Mus musculus: one gene and its partners. The protein of the gene in region 1 interacts with the protein of each later gene in a pairwise test. Links are inferred from orthologs where the notes say so. Each region holds a gene or a part of one and is shown on either strand. Other genes may lie near its edges. The genes, in order: Retreg3, Stap1, Map1lc3a, Abhd16a and Gabarapl1.

What was found.
Region 2: the proteins of Retreg3 (region 1) and Stap1 interact in binary tests that used the Homo sapiens proteins (3 or more experiments, as listed by UniProt). The two-hybrid records come from large-scale screens. The link is inferred for Mus musculus from reciprocal best matches to the Homo sapiens genes RETREG3 and STAP1.
Region 3: the proteins of Retreg3 (region 1) and Map1lc3a interact in binary tests that used the Homo sapiens proteins (3 or more experiments, as listed by UniProt). The link is inferred for Mus musculus from reciprocal best matches to the Homo sapiens genes RETREG3 and MAP1LC3A.
Region 4: the proteins of Retreg3 (region 1) and Abhd16a interact in binary tests that used the Homo sapiens proteins (3 or more experiments, as listed by UniProt). The link is inferred for Mus musculus from reciprocal best matches to the Homo sapiens genes RETREG3 and ABHD16A.
Region 5: the proteins of Retreg3 (region 1) and Gabarapl1 interact in binary tests that used the Homo sapiens proteins (3 or more experiments, as listed by UniProt). The link is inferred for Mus musculus from reciprocal best matches to the Homo sapiens genes RETREG3 and GABARAPL1.

Annotation. Positions count from the first base shown.
Region 1 is NC_000077.6:101,117,040-101,121,030, forward strand, and holds the start of Retreg3 (reticulophagy regulator 3), read right to left. Parts: upstream 2,803-3,991; 5' UTR 2,741-2,802; coding exon 2,502-2,740; intron 262-2,501; exon of another isoform or gene 147-261; intron 1-146. Other genes in the region: Tubg1 (tubulin gamma-1 chain), read left to right, coding at 3,155-3,203, 3,508-3,620, 3,792-3,959. UniProt on the Homo sapiens protein: Endoplasmic reticulum (ER)-anchored autophagy regulator which exists in an inactive state under basal conditions but is activated following cellular stress.
Region 2 is NC_000071.6:86,070,264-86,074,545, reverse strand, and holds the start of Stap1 (signal-transducing adaptor protein 1), read right to left. Parts: upstream 2,801-4,282; 5' UTR 2,709-2,800; coding exon 2,589-2,708; intron 1-2,588. UniProt on the Homo sapiens protein: In BCR signaling, appears to function as a docking protein acting downstream of TEC and participates in a positive feedback loop by increasing the activity of TEC.
Region 3 is NC_000068.7:155,274,882-155,278,582, forward strand, and holds Map1lc3a (microtubule-associated proteins 1A/1B light chain 3A), read left to right. Parts: upstream 1-1,482; 5' UTR 1,483-1,725; coding exon 1,726-1,765; intron 1,766-2,076; coding exon 2,077-2,132; intron 2,133-2,216; coding exon 2,217-2,323; intron 2,324-2,593; coding exon 2,594-2,756; 3' UTR 2,757-3,192; downstream 3,193-3,701. Other genes in the region: Pigu (phosphatidylinositol glycan anchor biosynthesis class U protein precursor), read right to left, coding at 3,655-3,701. UniProt on the Homo sapiens protein: Ubiquitin-like modifier involved in formation of autophagosomal vacuoles (autophagosomes). While LC3s are involved in elongation of the phagophore membrane, the GABARAP/GATE-16 subfamily is essential for a later stage in autophagosome maturation.
Region 4 is NC_000083.6:35,087,910-35,092,095, reverse strand, and holds the start of Abhd16a (phosphatidylserine lipase ABHD16A), read right to left. Parts: upstream 2,806-4,186; 5' UTR 2,772-2,805; coding exon 2,640-2,771; intron 1,728-2,639; coding exon 1,671-1,727; intron 1,075-1,670; coding exon 1,008-1,074; intron 526-1,007; coding exon 439-525; intron 278-438; exon of another isoform or gene 114-277; coding exon of another isoform or gene 89-113; intron 1-88. UniProt on the Homo sapiens protein: Phosphatidylserine (PS) lipase that mediates the hydrolysis of phosphatidylserine to generate lysophosphatidylserine (LPS). LPS constitutes a class of signaling lipids that regulates immunological and neurological processes.
Region 5 is NC_000072.6:129,532,033-129,535,993, forward strand, and holds the start of Gabarapl1 (gamma-aminobutyric acid receptor-associated protein-like 1), read left to right. Parts: upstream 1-1,159; 5' UTR 1,160-1,414; coding exon 1,415-1,504; intron 1,505-3,961. UniProt on the Homo sapiens protein: Ubiquitin-like modifier that increases cell-surface expression of kappa-type opioid receptor through facilitating anterograde intracellular trafficking of the receptor. Involved in formation of autophagosomal vacuoles.

The DNA of each region.
Region 1 (3,991 bases):
CAGTTCCCAAGAGGTAACAGGGCATCAGCTGCGAGTTACGCTCATGTCCCCAAAGGCCACCTGGAATCACAGGGACAAGGAGCTCCAGTCTATAGCCCCCTGTGAGCTCTGTGCTGTTCATCAAGTTAGGGCCAGCGGGGCTTTACCCTCGTGCTCCCCCATCTCCTATCAGTCCAATCGAAGTTCCTGGAACCTGTCCTTTTCTGGTCCTGCCATGATGCCCTCCTGCCGACTTTCATGGTCTCCCTGTGGGTCACTCATCTGCAGATGGGGTGAGATTAATGAAAAAGTCGGCTTTTAGAGGGAAGCCATTATTATTCTAAAGACAGCAACAGAGCAGGGGCTAGAAGCGATGTGGGTTACAAGATTTTGGACAGGGTCACCCTGATTTCTCTGGTACCTGGGAGGGGACACCCTGGAAATACATGGTGGCACCCTACCACATGGAATTCTTTTATGAACCTCCTGTGTTTAGAAAGTAAGAGGGCATAGTCACAGGTACAGGGAAAACTACACCAGAGAAGGAATGTACATCACTAAACACACTATGTGCCCTGAATTTGGAGGACTTGGGAAAAAAAAAATTCTTTCAGAGAGAGAGAGAGAGAGAGAGAGAGAGAGAGACAGAGGGGGGGGGAGTGTGTGTGTGTGTGTAAGTCAGGTGACAGCTTACAGAAGCTGGATCAGGGCATCAGGTTTGGAGGTAGGCTCTACTACGCTAAGGTGGACTCCAGCACTCAGGTGACAACTTTGTAGTATCAAGCTAATCTTCTGACTCATCAAAAGCACCTCAGCTTTTGATAACGTCATTATTCCTAATAAATAATATAAGAAGTACTTCAGATTTGTTGTTTCTGACCTAACTTAGTGATACTTCTTCAATTCGTTGAAAATCTAGTCATTCTTTACTCTACTAAGTGAAATGACAACACTCACAAAGACACTACTGAGGAGTGAACTGTGTTTAGCCCTCAAAGAAATTCATTCTCCCAAAACAATTCTATAAGTGCCAATGTCTGACTACTTTAACCCGCTTGGACTTTAATACTATCTGTACCCCTCCCAAGGTATGAGTCCCCTCTATAAATGACAAGCTCAATTGTTTTTTAAGTCTTAGGCCACACTCACTTTGGTGGATCTCTCCCCCACCTCCTGCATTGTGGCTACACAGCAGGCATACTACCCGGAAATGCCAGAGATAGGGATCAGTCACAACTTAGCACAAGAGGGGTTCTGAGAAAGATTCTAAACGCAGACTTAGCCTAAGTAAACACTATGGTACAGCATGGTGGCCAGTGTCAATAGCCCCAATCCTCGGGAGCTGGGAGCAGGAAGGTCAGAAGTTCAAGGCCTGCTCTGTGGAGAGGATATTTGGAGCCAAAAAAGAATACACTGTTGAGGACCAGCAAATCTGTTGCAGCTTTGAAATGTGTTCCAGAGCTAGAGAGATGGTTCGGTGGCTAAGAGCACATACTGCTCTCCCAGAGAAGTTCAGTTCCCAGCAACCCCCACCTATCTCCAGCTCCAGGGGGATCTGATGCTTCTAGCCTCTACAAGTACCCACAACTCCTCACGACCACCCCATCTCAGGACCACACCCCTATACACATACACACACACAGGCTTATTCAAAGAGTCTCATCTCTTCTGGTTGTAGAAGCCTCAGTGATATGTCAGTTCCCTTGGAATTTGATCAGTACTATGGTTATTAATAAACCCAAACCATGGTTGGTAGACTCGATGAAGCCCAAACTCCTCCTAGGTGCTCTCATTTTTTCCAGAGAATGAAACACACACTTTAATATAAAGCCACTTGTCCAGTGAAAGAGAACTCAACGGCTCTCAGACAGCCTCAAACTCCTTGAACCACAGCTAAGGTCTAATTTTTGGGGGGAAGCGTTGCAATCCTAAGTGGCTCTGAAACAGATGAAAGATCACCACTGTTTTTTAATTTTTTCCTTCTTAATACATCTACTTTTCTTTCAAGCTGAAACTCCACACAAACTTCACCAACTTGACTGGGTGAGACGGTATCTAACATGCTAATAATCCATGATAACCGGCTCAAGCTTGTTTTCCTCCTCACACCCAGGGATACCCTTCTGCCTCTCCTCCCATCATCGTTAAGTTAAAACCTCTCGGAACCACCACCCTGGGGCAAGCAAGAGAAACGGAGGAAATGGTCTCGAAGTGAAATCACTTTCTCTCGCTAACAAGAGGCACCCCGGCTTACTGCGAGCGACACGGGATGGTACCAGATTCTCTGGCGAGTCGTGGGGGCAAGTGGAGAAGACCAGGAAGGCCCTGCGAGCACCCGGGGTGCCAAAGCCTGGAGGCAGGCGGGATGCTGGGGAAAGTGAAGCATTATCAGGCAAGTATCAGAAGCAGCCAGGGCGACGAAAGAAGGCAGGACAGGGCAGGTGAGAGATCGACACCCCCCCCCCCAGAACAACCTGAGGAATTCCCGCCTAGTAGGGTCAGTGAGGGTCCGGGTGTCTCACCAGAACGCCGCGTTCAGCCCCAGGCACCACAGGGCGCTCCTGGCCGGCCGCTCCCACACCAGGGCTGCCTGCACCCGGCTCAGCAGAGGCTCGTAAGGGCCCAGCACCTCCACCAGGGTCCGCTGCGCCGCCTCAACCTGCTGGTCGCGCTCCCAGGAGCCGGACATAGCTCGGCGGCCCCTGAAAGCCAACCCCGAAGCTGGACCCGGGGCCGCGGCCACCCCTTCAGCCTCCTCCATCTCCCCTTCAGCAGCCACAACATCCGGGGCCACGGCCCGGGAGTCACAATAACACCGACTGCGCAGAAGCACGATTTGGCTGCGGCCGGGCGGAGAAGGGGCGGGGCGGGGCAAGTGCCGGAACGCCCACGCGCGCATGCGCAGACGCTCCGGTGCGCATTCATCAGACGGAAGAGAACACTGCGTCGAAATGCGTTCCCGGCGCTGAGCGCGATTCGGAGCCGCGCACGCGCAACTCGCACGACTGAAGCCCGATGAAGGAGGAAATTTCATCTGCAGAACCCAGCTCCCATTGGAGCGGAGAACGATTAGGGGTGGAGCGCATTGTCTGGCGCCTGCGTCTTGCCGGCGAGCGCGCTAGCGGTCGGCGGTGTTGCTGGCGGGAGAGACTGCAACGCCGATGTCTGAGGAGCGATGCCGAGAGAAATCATCACCCTACAGTTGGGCCAGTGCGGCAATCAGAGTGAGCGAACCTCCCAGACCCTCTGCCTCCCAGGTTCCTTAGGTGCAAGAGGCCCTCGCAATAAGGTCATAGCTTCGGTCTGTCTGCAGAATCCTAGTTCTCCCCCACAAAGGCGATTCCCAACCCTGTGCCCAACTGCCTAAAGCCAATGGACCTTCCCCTGTCCAGTCATTGGCCTAGACACTAGGGAGTCCCAAGGCTAATCTAGATCCCTAGACCCAGGCGTTCAAATCCCCCACTGGCTATTTGGAACCTACCCAGACTCACGTATCTTTTTTCTTCACCTTCCGCCTCCCTCTCTTAGTTGGGTTCGAGTTCTGGAAACAGCTATGTGCCGAGCATGGCATCAGTCCCGAGGGCATCGTAGAAGAGTTCGCCACGGAGGGCACTGACCGAAAGGACGTCTTTTTCTACCAGGTGCTCCCCCAAGTGACTTGACCAGGACCCTGGCGGGACTGGCAGCGCGATCTGGTGCTGGGAAACTCTGAGTGGATGGATGGGAACAGAGTGGCTATCTTGAGGGAGAGCCTGCAGGAGCCAGAGTTGGGAGGCTTCAGGACTTGACCCATCCTGGCTTCCCTCTGACAGGCAGATGATGAGCACTACATCCCCCGGGCTGTGCTGCTGGACCTGGAGCCCCGGGTGATCCATTCCATCCTAAACTCCTCCTATGCTAAGCTCTACAACCCAGAGAACATCTACCTGTCGGAGCATGGCGGAGGAGCTGGCAACAACTGGGCCAGCGGATTCTCCCAGGTCATTTGCTGTTCCCCTGAAGGGCTCTCAAC
Region 2 (4,282 bases), on another chromosome or scaffold:
ATTCAGAGTCCTTCTAGAAGTGCATTAAAATCATCATATATTGTGTATTTCCCTGGCATTGGAACATTGTAACTTCTTTTTAAATGACCTGGAAAGGGCTGCAGAGATGGCTCTTCCAGAGGTCCTGAGTTCATTTGGTGACTCACAACCATCTGTAATGGGATCTGATGCCTTCTTCTGTTGTGTCTGAAGACAGCCATATGACAGTACACTGAGACAGTGTACTCATATACATAAGATAAATAAATAAATCTTTTAAAACAATGATCTTGAAAAACAAACAAACAAACAAACAAACAAACCCCCAAAACAAAAAGCCTTGTAACAAGAGCCTCTTGACCTGTAATCTCTGAGCATATTGTCCTTGAGCCACATTTTCTCCAGCTCAGTCTTCTGAATTCTTTTCAGCAGGAGCTCAGCATCCTGCCTAGCCTCCTATCCTCCTGTATCCCATCGCACAACAGATCCTTGGTGATAGCTCTCGCAGCTCACCTTGCTCTCAATGCACCCTGGAATTGGCTGCCAATTGTATAGAAACTCCACTTATTTCCCTTAGCGTTTTTCTCATTGCTTCTCTATTTAAATCTTTGAGCCCTGTGGTGTTCCTTTGAGCAATTTTACTTGTAGACCTCAACCTGACTTTAGGACACTAGCAAACATCTATGTAAACCAGAAGAAAATGACTCTGAAGTGCGAATGAAGCCTGTAGTTACGGTTTTCATCTTTCCAGCCACCCTTTATGTTGTCATTGTCACCCTCTGGTTCCTCTTTGATTGACACATGAGAGAAAGAAACTTGGAAATAAATTCAAATGGGAAAAGAAACTGGCTTTCTCATATACACGCGTTTCACCATTATTTACATTACCTCGGTCGGGCTGAACTCAGGACCTAATGCCTCTTCGAGAATGTGTTACCTTTAGCTATATATCCCTAATCCTCATAATTCATCCTATTTTAAAACATGCTTTCTAAGCAAAACCAGAAGAGGAGTTAGATAAAAAGAGCAAAGTCATAACTCCCACCGAGCTAAGCCTCTTTTAACGTTTGTTGAGTGCAACGTGTAAGATCAATGTTGCTTGAAACACAACTTGATTCAGCACTGCATTTGCTTATCCCAGACATAATGAAGAGTACAACATAAATAATAATATATTACATCACAGCAAGTAGTATCCTTTGGCTACTTTTTTTTTTTAACAGTTGAATAAACTGAGTTCAGGGGGTGGAAGAATTTTCCTAAGGTCATGAGTTGTATGTAGAAGAACTATCAAGTGAAGACATGGTTTACTGGTATTCTAAAATTGTGGATTTTTTTTTTTTCCTGCTAAGCGTGCCACCACATGGGATTTTTTTTTCTCCTGCTAAGCGTGCCACCACATGGCTTCTTTAAACAGCTGAAGGATCTTGGTAATAGACCCAGTTACTATAAACACTTTGGGAAGAGAATCAGAGAAAGACCAAATCTAAATTACCACCTAGAAATTTACTTCTAGGTGTTGCACACTTCTGGTGAAGTAAAAACCTTGTAGACCTGTGAAGACTCAATAACAGCAGCAGCAACAACAACAACATTTGAATATAGTTTGCCAATTTACTATTTTAAATTTGCAAATTTAACAGCCACGGCAAGAGTCACAATCTGACTTTCAAATGGCAAATGAGCTTACAAGTAGAGTATTTTCACATTTAGAACTTTTCCATGACTGTTATCGACTCCTCTGAACCTTGCCTTATCATTTTCATTGAACACCCACTGCTACTTCTGAAAACATTTAAAACCTTGCTAACTTCAGTCAATATGAAAATGCCATACCTACACTAGTGGCTTCTTTACTTCTTTAGTAACATAATTTCATAATTTCGTACTTCCTTAATCAATTTTATGTTGTCCACAATTACAACTTTAAAGGCAAATACACTTTTATAACTGTAGTTTAAGATTTTACATAAAAAGTATGTGAAATACTTCATGAGTTTTCTTAGAGCAAATGTACTTTTGAAAAAAAAAAACCCTAATGTGTTCACTAGTTACAATAACACCTTAAATATTCTTTTAAAATAAGCATTGTGAACAGTATTTTCAGATTGTGTAATGAAACAATATTAAGTCAATATCAAATTTTCACAATCTTATGGAAGTTTATCATTTCTTACAACGTGGTCATTATAAGGCTCATTGTAACCAGAGTAGAAGTAGGTTGTTATCTCTCATTAAATCCCCTCAACATCATGCGGTTCCTCACCACCGAAGCATAGCAGTCAGCTATGCTTATAAAACATATAAAACTCTCATCTTTAAAGCCAAAATCTTCTGGGATGCTTAAAAGACTCTTTTGGAAATTTCACTGCATTTTTAGATTATGGCTAAATATTAGAAACCTTACAATACATATGTGTGTGTGTGTGTGTGTGTGTGTGTGTGTGTAAAGCTGTGCATTAATTCAAAGTGAGAATCATTCTTCTAACTCAAGGAAGACAGTATAACCCAAACAGAAACGAGGAGGCTTCATCGCATCGTGTTGCCATGACATAAGTTTTATGATAAGTGCCAATGTTCAGGGTTACAATTATTGTCTACACACTTACCTGGTGATCAGACCGTTTGACCAGTAAAAATCCTTCAAAGTACAGGGGCAGAGCAGTGATCTTCAGTCTTTCCTGGAAGATCCTGCGAGGGGCAGGTTTCGGGGGCTTTTTCGCCATCATAGCCTTTGCTTTGGAGTTTGGCTTGCTTTCAGTTCTATCCAGCCTCAAAAAAACCGAAATCTCCGTAGTGTTGAGAGGAGAGGCAACTGTTCAAAGAGGAAGTCTCAACTCGCTTTTTAACCACCAACCCTTCCACCAACAGCACACACACACACACACACACACACACACACACACACACACACACACTTTCCCTCCTTCAGTTATTGTGAAGTAAAAAAGATCAGGCACAGACCAACTTTTAAAAGGCGTCTGCTGTGTAAACTTCATGTGCTTAGGTTGATGGTAACAAAATAAACAGCAGATTACCATCTCCTAATGATGAAAGGAGCAGGTGCGAGACTTTTGGAGCAACACCAACGACACACTTAGCTTTTCCAGCTTTCATTTTTGTTGATTGTTCTCTGCCTTTATTTCGAAGATATGTGACTTAAATAAACTGTATCCATTAAAAAAATTCTTCATTGAATATTTTTGTATTGATCCTATTGGCTATATATCCAATAGTGTTTTTTTTTTTTTTTTATTGAAAATATGGTCTCATTTTTGTAGCCGTGGATAGCCTGAAATTCTACTGTGTAGACCAGGCTGGTCTCAGACTCACAGAGGTCTACTTGCTTCTGCCTCCAAAGTGTTGGGCTTAAAGATTTATGTCATCATACCTAGCTGTTGCCAGAGAGCTTTAGAAGAGAAAGATGACTTACAGAAAAATACAGAAAAGAATATTTTTGATGTTTTGACATTTACTTTGTGTGTGTGTGTGTGTAGGGCTGTGCATGTGTGTGTGTGTGTTTGTGTGTGCTAATATTCAGGTAGGTTCAAGTGTGCACATGTTACAGTGCACATGTGGAACTTAGAGGACAATTTGTAGCAATCGGTTCTCTTCTAATATGTGGGGGCTCAAGCAACGAATTTGGTAGTATGTCCCTTAGTGTCCTGAGCCCAGAGAGAAATATTTATGTTAATTAAACATCTGCTTAATTTTGTCTTTTTACCATTTTAAAAAGTAAGCAATAAATAAATAAGTAAATGCACAAATAAATAAATTAATTAAATTAAATCTAGTTCATCAAACCAGGTAGACTCTTTTGGACTGTTGATTTGTAAATAACATTAATCCTCAATGTACCAAGAATCAAATATTTCTTCTTCAGTCATCTCCCCCAAACCTTATAGATTTCAAAATTTCATTCTTGGTCAGTCTGATCGATCCTCACAGATTCTGCGGTTCTTCCTTTCATTTTTTATTGAACACTATTTATTGCACTGGCAAGAAACCAAGCCCCTTCCCCAGCAAGTACCTTCTGCTCTAGGCCTTACACTTGCTCCTCGACGTCTCAAAGCCCTTGGCCCTCCTTCTGACAGCTCCTCCTGTGTGCTCCCACACCCTTCTTTTTGTTATCTACTTGGTGAATTCTTACTTCTCCTTCAAGAGCCTGGTGAAATCTGTTATTGGGAAGAATTACTTTATTGACTTATTATACTGATTAAGCCAGAAAGTAGGAATAGAAATGTCCTCATCCGGTACTTCCAAATTTCTGGCCCTTACTATTTACTGATTTATCTTCACATGC
Region 3 (3,701 bases), on another chromosome or scaffold:
AATAGGACTTAAGGTCATAATTTAGGGAAGTAATCCTACCGCCCCACCCTAATTTGGGGCTGCCACATACCAGGCATTGAGCTGCCTGGAGAAGGTAGAGATGGGATATAAGGCCTGGTTGAATCCCTTTGTAGGTGGAGCCTCTAGGATCTAACATATTCCGAAAATTGAACCCACATCCTCATGCTTGCGGGCAAGCACCCTACCTGACCAAGCAGACAATAATATCTTTCCAAACAAATCCAGCTCCCTAAGACATTTAAAAAGCAAAACAAAACCCAAAACACAAGGTCTCACTATCTAGACCAGGCTGGCCTTGAACTCAAGAGACCATCCCGTCTCTGCCCACAGAGCTGGGGTTAAGGAGGCACCGCCACCCAGCCTCTTTAAGGCAATCTCAGCTGAATTCTTGTTACCTTAGCAGCTTGTTTTTGTACCAATCACTACCATTTCTGTCCATAAGCAGTTGTTTAGAATTACTCAAGCGTGCATCTGTTAACTTGGTTCCCATCAAATTTCTTCCCTTTGAGCTGTATGTTTCTGAAGTACAAACTAACTTTTTTTTTCAAACAATGGTCCTTTGTAAATTCTTTTGTTTTATCTTTTTTCTTCCTTACTTCAACTCTAGCCCATCCTCCTGCCTCAAACTCCCATAGAGCTAGGACTACAAATGAGAGCCAGCTACATCTGGCATTGATTCTGGCTTTCAATCGATTTTTAAAGTTCTTCAAGGGGCCGCCTCTCCGTGTCCGTCCAGTCCCTCTATCCCCTCCACCTCCCGCAAAACCTGAGATACTGAACTTAAGCCTTCCATCTGCTAGGCAAGTATCCTACCCTGACCCTCGGTAACATTCCCAGACCATACTTCTTTCTATCCTACCAAGGGGCTCTACCTGTAAAATCTGACTTCGCGTGTTGTCAGTTCCGAATGTTCTCCATCTCATGGTTAACCACTTCTGATATAGCCCCCCCATTCAGCGATTCTCTCCTGCTTTATCTAAACCACCTATTAACCAACCTCACTCTGGAAATCTATGCTTTCTATGGTTGTTCCAGAATTCTTTGAAAGCCTGGGTGGGGGGTCTGGAGCAATGGTTCGACAATTAAGAGCCCTTGCTATTATTTCAGAGGACCTAAGCTTGATTCCCAGCAGTGCGATTAACTCCAGCCTAAGGAAATCCGATGCTATGTTCTGCATCCGCGGGCATACACTTACAGACACATTAAAAATTTTAAAACTCTGGGTGTTCCATCCTCTCCCCGCTCCACCTTCCTTCTCGAATGCTAAACTCGATGAAGGTGCGGTGAACTACTCCGCAGCGTCGAGAGACTGGATGGAGGCGACAAATGCCTGGCTTCTGAGTCTGTGGCGCCAAAGAGAGGAGCTTGCCATCGTGACGTCACAGAACTGTGACGCGCCCTGGAGCTCCGCCTCCTTACGACCTGCGCCGGGAATCCGGGCTGTCTGCGCCGTGGCGTCACAGGTCCAGGCAGGCGGGTTTTCCGTCGGCCCAATGGGAGCGGCGCGCCGGCCTCCCCTTTAAGGAATGTTGTGACCTGACGTCACCCAGGCGAGTTACCTCCCGCAGCCGCCACCGCCAGGCTCAGCGCGAGCCCCGCAGCCCTTGAGCTCGAGCCCCGGAGCCCCCGGCGCGCCGAACCGCAGACGCATCTCTGAGCCGCGCACCCCGGAGCCCCGGCTGCGCGCCCCGCCGGGCCCGCGCGATGCCCTCCGACCGGCCTTTCAAGCAGCGGCGCAGCTTCGGTGAGGCCCTGGGGGGCGAACTGCCATCGGGGATCGAGGGATGGGGGTGCCAGTCGACCCCGATTGCCGCAGGTGACGTCAGCCCCATGACGTCAGGCACCGGCCGGCCGGACCCCGGGTGGAGAGGCCGCAAGGCCTGGCAGGGTCGCCCGCCTCCCTACCGCGTCCCCCCGGTGGAGGGCTGCGGGGCCGACGGCCCCGGGGGCGGGCGCTGGGGCGGGGCGGGCCGGGAGCCGCCCCTCGGGGATCAGCGAGGCGGAGTCGCGGGAGGCCTCAGCACCGCTGGGCCTCACACAGAGCTCTGTCCGCAGCCGACCGCTGTAAGGAGGTGCAGCAGATCCGCGACCAGCACCCCAGTAAGATCCCGGTGAGTCTCTAGCACCCCCCAGCCACGCCCTGCCCTGCCAGGTCCCGCCCTTGGCTTACGAGTCCCCCGCCCACTCCACTCCAGGTGATCATCGAGCGCTACAAGGGTGAGAAGCAGCTGCCTGTCCTGGATAAGACCAAGTTTCTGGTCCCAGACCATGTTAACATGAGCGAGTTGGTCAAGATCATCCGGTGCGTGGGCAGCCTCCTACAGGCCTTGGGTGGGGCAGGGTCAGGTTCCACAAGAAGGGATGGAGTGGGGCGAGGGGACTGATTTGGGACACCGGGCCCCTGTTCTAGGAGGCTGGAAAAGACCAAGGTCGGGGTTGGGACGAGCTTCAGTAGAGGTGAGAGCCTCTGGCTGAGATGGACCGAAAGTGAAGGTTCAGTAACATTTTGGGAGGGTCACCTAGGCCTCCAGCAGGCAGCCTCCTCACCTGGCATGCCTGCCTGCCTCCACAGGCGCCGCCTGCAACTCAACCCCACGCAGGCCTTCTTCCTGCTGGTCAACCAGCACAGCATGGTGAGCGTCTCCACACCCATCGCTGACATCTATGAACAGGAGAAGGATGAAGACGGATTCCTCTACATGGTCTACGCCTCCCAAGAAACCTTCGGCTTCTGAGTCAAGAGGAGGGGAGGGGGGTGGCTGGGAGTTCTGGTCAGGTTCTCCCCAGGGAGGTCCTGGCTCCTAAACTAAGCTATTTCAGTCCCCAGTGGATTAGGCAGAGATGTGACACCCACTCCCCCCCCCAGGTAGGGGCCACCAGCCAGCCTACCACATCCTGGGTAGGTCCTGGGCCAGTCATGTTCGGGTTGCTCTTTTGGGTGCTGGCTGGGTTGGGAGTGGGTGGGGAGCAGCATCCCTGCTCTGTGGGGTTTGTCATTTTGTTAGGCCCTTGCCTGTCTGCCCATCTTGCCCCTCATCCACCTGAGGCTTTGCCTCCTGCCAGGACCTGCCCCACCCCTGAAAGGCTGGCTCCCCTTGTCCTGACTCGGTGTATGGATCTGTGGTCATTTCCTCTGCAGAAAGAATAAAGACTGCTCAGGCCTGCCTGGCCCTTTGCCTCCAGCTGCTTGTTTGGGAGCAGGGAGGGCTGCTAGGTGACTGTGTTCACACACAGAGACAGACGCGTGTTCCCAGAAACCCACTCCTTAGTACAGGATAGCACGTAGTATTAGGGGGCCAAGCTCACTCCACTCCAGGAATACATGTCATCAGAACAACAATGAAAAAAAAAAGATCCACACATTTATTAAGTAGTCACAACCTATAAAGCCCTGCTCACCGGCTGCTTCCTTTCTGTGCACAGTCACAAAGTGGGGGTCCAAGTGGGGTGCTCCTAGCTTCTCCCCATGGGCCTTGTTGCCAGCTATGAGTCCCCTTTGGTGCCAGAGATTTGTGACCCTGGACTTGAACTTCTTCTGCCTGAGGACGCGCCTGCTGGCAACTCTGGATGAGGGACCTGGCCCAGCTTCTGGCCCTTCCCCCTCTTGTCCATGCAGCGCTGTGCCAGCCAGGGCTACTTGAGCACAAGCATGGCCTCAGTGCCGTCCTTGGCAGTCAAGT
Region 4 (4,186 bases), on another chromosome or scaffold:
ACTTACACACTTATTCACTGATTGAGACAGAGTCCCACTATGTGGCCCAGGTTGGCCTGGAACGTGAGACTTTCTACCTCCCTCTTACCCAAGCGCTGGGATAGAGGACACATTGCTCGAATGTCTTCCACTAACAGTGCACCTCTGATCTGTACTCCGGTGCAGGGCCCACAGTGTGGTTACACTGTGTGAGGTCTCTGTGCATGTTAAAGTCTGCTGCTGTCTCCAGCTGAGACTCAGGCGGTGTGTGCTGTATTCTTCTTGTTCCTGTACACTGCTGATGAACACATGCAATGTAGGATGTAAGACACTTGAGGAAGAGCTACACCTTGGACTGTCCTCAGTTACTCCCTACAGGGCCCAGCCCCAAACTACGTCTGCAAAAAGTGCTTAACGCTTATCCAGTCACAGATACAAACCAGGCTCCTCTCTACCTACCTCGGAGGCAGGCCACCCCTGCAAGTAGCAGCAGCAATGTCCCGGCATAGTGAGAAAATGGCACCACTTTGGACAAACTCAAGTAACCTGGGAGGGAAGAGGGACAGTTATGAGACGCTCTCACAGGACCTCTGAGTGGTTCTCCCAGCTTGCCCACAACCTCTACCCACACTCTGTCTTTGGGTTAGCCATTCTATCAGACCAGCAATTCTCAACCTGTGCATTGGGAACCCTTTGGCAAACCTGTATCTCCAAAAAATATTTATATCATGAACCATAACAGTAGCAAAATCACAGTTATCCAGTAGCAACGACATGATGTTATGGTTTTGCGGGGGGGGGGGGGGTGTCACCACGACATGTGGAACTGTGTTAAAGGGTCGCAGCACTGGGAAGGTTGAGAACCACCAGCTTATAGGGCAAGACTCCTGGTAGAAGAGGGAAGTCAAATATGCCGTTCTCACAGGATCACCCCCTTTCTCTTCGGGGAGTAGATTCACTGGCCAATGACCTGCCCGGTTTGTCCCCACCCACACACGCCCCACCACCACCTTTGGAACCACACTGACCTTTCCTGTATAAGTAGAAGAAGGCGAAGGGAGAGGAGTAATAAGAGATGGACCAGAAGACTGAAGCCTGCAGCAGAGACACAGACAGGCGATCAATACGCCTGTGCACACACACGCTGTTCTGCCCTCTCCGGGCCTGGCTCTGACACCGTGCACACAGTAGGGACCCAAATATTTGTTGCCTCATAGTGTGTCAGAGTACAGTAACGGAGACTGACACAGATTCATGGCGTTGAAAACACCAGCCTCTCTGTCTACTCAAGTTAATCAAGCCTTCCCAGTTGGCCCCACTCAAGAGAGTCCCAGGTTTTGTCCCCAAGAGATGTGAGAACATCACCATAGGAACTCTGCCAGGGAGAACAGCTGTCTCTGCAGCCACAGAAGTTAGTTGCCAGGGAGGATAGGTCACTAGGGACTGCAAGACTCAGAGACCTGCAGCCGATCCCAAAGGTAAATTTGTTATCCTTAGGGCTCAAACTGCTCTGGAAAAAGCTTATGGTACACAAAGGGGACTTCCTAAGGGAGAATGCCAACGGTAGGCACTTGGGATACGCTGGTCCTCTGTGCAAGCTCTGCTGTACAGGGCCCAGAGCACCCCTCACCTCCTGGGGTGTTGCCTTCTCCAGGGCTGGGTTTGACTGGCAGATGCTGGGACTGACTTACCAGTGCCAGGATGCTGTCTGCATGTTTCTCCAGGGCCCGAGGCTGATAATACGTATCCTGCCAAAACAGATGGCCTGTTAAGGACCTTGCCAGCTGACAGGCCCTTCCTCCCTTCCAGAAGCCCTAACCTGTGTCACCTGGTTCTAGCCTCTGTGGCCATTTCTCCTGGGATACTCCTGTTTCTGCTGAAGCTTCAACTCCCCCCCCCTGACATTTCACCCCTCACCCTGAAAGCAATCACGGGGTGCTAGGCTTGGAAGCAAAAGTGAAAGCAGCATTTGGAAAACCGGTCCTTTTTTTCCCCTGAAACTCCATACAGATATGATTGTGTCACTATGGGGAGAGGAGTAAAATTGAAAATGAGAGACTCCATGACAATTCTAAGAGGGAAGGAATAGCATTTGATGTAAGTCGATTCCGGGAAAAATGTCGCTAAGTGTGGGCACTTCGGAAAGCCTCCTAAACATAATTTGCAACCAATAAAAACAAAAACATTTTGGAGAGCAAACTACCACCCTGAATGCAAGACCCTGGTTTTCAGGCTAGGTTTGGGGGCACAAGGCGCACAAGTAAATACATGACATGAAGTCATTTTTGAAACTGAAAAGTCAGGTTAAAGAGAAAGTCAACAGATCCTGGGAGAAATTGGGAGTAGGTGGGCAAAAGCCAGTGCGCGCAGGGGACTCCAAACTCAACTGGGACCAGCCATTCGGGGGACGCGGAGGGGGAAAAAAAAAAGCAAGCGTGGTGGTGGGTGTGAGGAAGAGTTCCTCCAAAGCCGTAAAGAGAGGCGGCGGCTGGGCCCTGCGTGACTGGGAGGGGGCCGGGAAGCGCCCGCAGGCGGACTGCGTGCGCGACCGCCACTTGACAAGCGGGCTCCCCCGTTTCCCACAGTGGGCGCGCCGGGCGAGCGCAGCGCAGCGCGGTCTGGACCATACCATGCTCTCCGCCGGGGGGAACCCGACTCACCCAGGAGCTGGACGAGGCGGCGGGGACGGCAGTGGGAGTCTCGGGGACGCTGGACGCGGCCCGGTCCGTGTCCCTCTCCCGGTAGATCTTGTAGAGCCGGGGGCCGAGGACGCAGCTCAGGAGCTTCGCCATAGCCCCGGCTCGGGCCGCTGTCCCTCGGCCTCAGGTCCCCGCCGGCCCCGCCCGTAGTCTCCTGGGCGCTGCGTGCGTGCCTGTGTGCGTGCGTGACGTCAGCACGTATCCGCTCGCCCCGTGGCAGGGTCCAGCCTGACGTTCTCGCCACGAGAGGAGTGTTCAGCGCAGTGGGCGACGGTCTACAGTTAGTTAGAGCTGTTCTGAATAGAGAAACTTAAGAAAATGAATGCCCCAGGTGGTTACTTTTTTTTTTTTAAAGATTTCTTTATTTATTATGTGAGTACACTGTTACTGTCTAGAGACACACCAGAAGAGGGCATCAGATCTCATTACAGATGGTTGTGAACCACCATGTGGTTGCTGGGATTTGAACTCATGATCTTCGGAAGCGCAGTCAATGCTCTTAACCGCTGAGCATTTCTCCAGCCCCCACATTTTTTTTTTGGTTTTTCGAGACAGGGTTTCTCTGTGTAGCCCTGGCTGTCCTGGAACTCACTCTGTAGACCAGGCTGGCCTCGAACTCAGAAATCTACCTGCCTCTGCCTCCCCAGTGCTGGGATTAAAGGCGTGCACTACCACGCCTGGCTTCACTTTTTTTTTTTTTTTAAACCCTATCCCTTAATGTCAGCATGTTCTGGAACGATCACTGGGTGAGAGTAGGAGCATTTGACAAGAACTTCAAGAAAAGAGGCTAGTGTCTGGATTTGTAGCTCAAGTATAGAAAACTTTGCTTAACATGCTGAAAGCCCTGGGTTACACACACACACACACACACACACACACACACAGATCTAGGGATGTATCCATTAGAAGAAATAGCAGGATTCTTCTGAAGAATTCTATTTAAATTTTTTTTTATTTTATGTATATGAATACACTGTAGCTGTTTTCAGACACACCAGAAGAGGGCGTCTGATCTCATTACAGATGGTTGTGAGCCACCATGTGGTTGCTGCTGGGACTTGAACTTAGGATCTCTGGAAGAGCAGTCAGTGCTCTTAACCACTGAGCCATCTCTCTAACCCAAGAATCTTTTTTTTTTTTTTTTAAGTTTTTGAAAGAAGTAATCTGCCCGATGTAGTGCCACATGCTTTTAATCCCAGCACTTGAGAGACAGAGAGAGATGGGTGTGTTGACAGATTGGCCTCTTGAGTTCCAGGCCACCCTAGTCTACGTATGTAGTGAGTTCCAGGCCACTCAGGGCTATATAGAGAAACCTTGTTCAAAGTGCTAGGATTGGTGGTAAAGGGCTCTGGCTGCTTTTCGAGATGTCCTACATACAATTCTCAGCAACCACATGGTGGCTTACGATCTGATCCCCTCTTCTGGCATGCAGATATACAAGCAGATGGAGTACTTATATATGTAGAAATAAATCTTAAAGTGCTAGGAGTAAAGGCATGCATCACTAC
Region 5 (3,961 bases), on another chromosome or scaffold:
TGTAAGAAAGATTACCAGGAGAAAACCAAGAAGTGGGCTATGTATTTCATGTTCTTGTTTTGCCAGTTAAATTCAGTTCACTTTATTTTGCCCATATTTTATAACCATATCACTAAGTCATGTACATAAAATCAGGCAACAGGGCTGCTTGCCTGGTACCACTTAGTAGTCATTTTATTTTCACAGCACAAAGCATCCTTGAACTTTATCTCCGATGTTCCCAAGATATAGGTCTGGAGTTACTGCCAGTAGAATCAGAAGGGTGACCCCGCATCCAAAGAGTCTTAAGATGGAAACCCGGTATGTCAGAGGGGCCTGGGCTGACTCTCTCTATACTATTGAGGGTCTTCCACCAGCATGCCAGTCAGAGCTTTTGGTGCCCAATAAGGCCTTTTCATCAGGACAACTACCCTACAGGTGATACCCACCCCAGAGCAAAGTATTGTTGGGGAAACATAGACACCTAAATGATTTGACCTCTGTATTTTCAAGAACTCAACAACCATGCTTCTGGGTGAACCTTATAAAATGAATGGATTCATCTCTCCTTGAACGTGAGTGAAGCCTGGTGTTCATCGCTGGCATCGCTTCTTCTAACCTTGATGACTTCATGTTCTTCACCCTTACACTTCTTCAAATCCATGAGTCATGCTCTGTTTATGTTGTCTCAGAACCAATTCTAGCACAGATCCAAACATAAGGACACCAGTCAGAAGGAGGAGTTGGGGCAGAGAAGGCAGGCCAGTCGTGGGTGCCAGGCAAAGGTCAAAATGCAAGCACAGGACATTTCAGCCCGGGCTACAAATCTCGTGACGCCTGGCACTTTTCCAACTCCAGACTCCTGATTCCATTGCTCTGGAAACAGCTGGATTTTCTTCCTCTGTGTTTGTTTTGGGCATCAAACAAGAAACTTGAAGGGGAGGGAAGACGACATTTGTTAGAGCATTCTTTGAATTAACAAATTACCTTTAATATCAATCCTCAAAAATAAAAACCCGACTACATGATTTTTGCGTTTCGATGGAGTGGTTTAGGAAAAGCTTGGGTGAAAAGAAGATACACAAATAAACAAAGCTTCTGTCCACCCGGATCCAGCAGGTCCTTAGCGCCGGGGGCGGAGCGGGGGTGGGGCGTCGTGATGTCACAGCACCGCCCTGGTGTTTTTGTGTTTCCAGCTCTTGGGAAAAGCCACCCTATTTCTTTACCTGGTGGTCCTTTACCTTCAGGCCGCGAGATCTCCAGGTCCTTCTCTGGACGTTTAGCCACGTAGTGCGGCGACTGGCGCGTGGGAGCTGACGCGGGTGGAGCGATTGTGATAAGGCTGACATTGACTGGGGGTGGCCAGACGCGAGACGCAGTCATCAGCGCGCGCAGCAGGCCCCGTCCGGGGAGCCCCTACATCCTGAGGTCCATCATGAAGTTCCAGTATAAGGAGGACCACCCCTTCGAGTATCGGAAAAAGGAAGGTGAAAAGATTAGGAAGAAATACCCGGACCGGGTGCCGGTGAGTGGGGGCGGGGAGGGAGAAGGCAAGCTTGAGGAGTTTGGGAGCTGGTTGCCCTGGAGCTACCGAGGTAGCCTGGCGATGGCGGGTGGCCCTGGCACAGGAGGGTCATCGGAATCAAGTATTCTTGACCGGCTTTGACAAGCTTGTATCCCCAGGGCCTGTAGCCACTTTTGGCATCTCGAAAGCGCAGCGTGCGCGTGGTGGGTGAGTCAGCAGGATTCAGCACCCATGGAGGTTGGGATGTGCGCGTGGCGAGGCCTGTGTGTGCGGGGGCGACTGGTTGGGGGCCGCAGATAGGATATGCTATAGAAAAACGCGTCCCAACCCTGTAGCAGCAGGTGAGATGAGCCTTGTGCCCATCCATGTCTGCTCAATTGGTTCTCCATGAAAACGAGTCTCCTTCCCATTTCCTTGAGCGTAGGAGGAAAAACTCGAGAAGCCCCTAGATTCTGACCTGCGTTTTTTTTTTTTTTTTTTTTTTAGAATTGGGGGTGGGGTGGGGTGAGGGGCTTCACCAGGCGGGCCCTCAAACAAGGTCATGCCTGCCTCCACCTCATTATTGTCTCCTGGGCCATGTGTGGAAAAAGAAGGTCCGTGCTCTGCACTGTGATAGGTGGGTGGGCTCTTGGATCTCAAGAACCAGTACTGAGAACCGTTTCCTCCATTAATTATACCCCGATTTAAGCAGCTAATACCTAGTTCATGCAGTGGGGAGAAAAATACTAAGGGAGTCTTCAGCATCCGGGTGTTTTCCACTTTACCCCCTCCCCCGCCCACTTGCCTTTTTTTTTTTCCTCCTCTTTTGAAGGCTGCGCAGCAGAATTGGAAGCAAAGGATGACATCGCTTTTAAATATGGTGGATAGAGGACCAGGGACTTTAAAAAATCGTTCTCTTTATTTGTACAGGCAATGATGTTATATTAGGTTGGCGTTCCTCTAACTTTGAAGGGTAAAAGAGCTGTGCTAACCTGATAATTTTTTTTTTTGATGCATAAGTAATAGGGGGGAGGGACTTCTTCCTTATTCTTTATCTCAGCCAGGGCTACCAGAAGAAACGGAGGTCCAGCAAGAGAAAGCCCTCAGCCCCATTTTCTACCCTCAGCCCCATTTTCTACCCTCAGCCCCATTTTCTATGAGGAAGAAGAGAGCTAACTATTCCACCATTCTCCAGAAATTACATATACATGGCTCTTCCAGAACGGCTGGGCACACTCCAGTCATGCCTTCCTACTACACAGTCCTTCACATGTTATTTCCTTGAGCTCAGGACTGTGGAGGATTGCTTTCAAAATTTCTCTCAGTTTGTCAGCCCCACTTAATATTTTAAAATTACACATGGACCACACAGCTGGCAGCACTCTGAATGCCTTGTCTGTGTACTCACCGACTCTCGTCACAGCATTAAAATCCCTGTGCTAGAGACATGCTCTGAAGCACAGGGCAGTGAAGTCACCACCCACAGGTTTGACATTGCTGACTGGTGGAGGAGAATTCCAGCCCTGGCTGTCATGCTTCAGGGCTTCCAGAGCCCTTGGGCTTCCAGAGTTTTGTTTTTGTTTTTGTTTTCCAGTTTGTAGTACAGTTAGATGAACGCCTTGTAAGGTTGAGCCCTAGAAGTAGGTTAACACCTGCTGCCATCTGGAGTTCAGGTGGTAGTTGGTGCCAGCCAGGAAACTTAAGTGAACACCTACCCCCATTATTCAGAACTTTAACAGAAATCCGAGCTGTGACCTGCAACTGTTTCCAAATTCAGCTAAAACCTCCGTCCTTCCTCAAGACAGAGCCCCCTCGCATTCAGTTGTGTACAGCACTCACCCACAATATTGCAGTTTCTCTGTATTCTCCTGTTTGTGACTTGATGCTGAATGTTTTACTTCAGTGATGATTTGTAAGCCAAGACACCTTCGCTTAGATCTCATGGATCCCTGGATTTCACACCCAGATGGTACCTCCCAATCTGAGAGGTTCTCAACCTCTCATCTGGTTGTGACATAGAACCCTGCTGAGATTTGTGTGGGGGTGGGAGTGGGGGCAACACTAAAATTGGAACCCTTTGCCTGGTGTCTTCTCCATGACTGGATTATAACAGGAGTTCTCCTGCCTTGGTCACAGGGCCGAATCTTCCTATGTTCAGGTATTTACAGGAAAGCCGCTAAGTTTCTAAGGCAGTCTGACTCACAACTTAAGCTTGGCCTCTTAAGAGGTGTGCGTGGGCCTTGGGAGAAGGGATCATGGGATCTTGAGATAACCGTGTGTTGGAGACCTGTAACAGCAGGAACTGTAGGACATACTATTTTTAAACATTTGTAAACATCCCTATGGTGTATGAGCCACTGCGACAGATGCAGAAAACAAGTCCCCTCTCCTTTTGGTTGGAGTTCCAGGACTCAAGAGTTCCTGTGGTGAATACCAGGGCTCCCTGTTTCCTGTGCTCTGTTTGTAACCTGCCTCTTT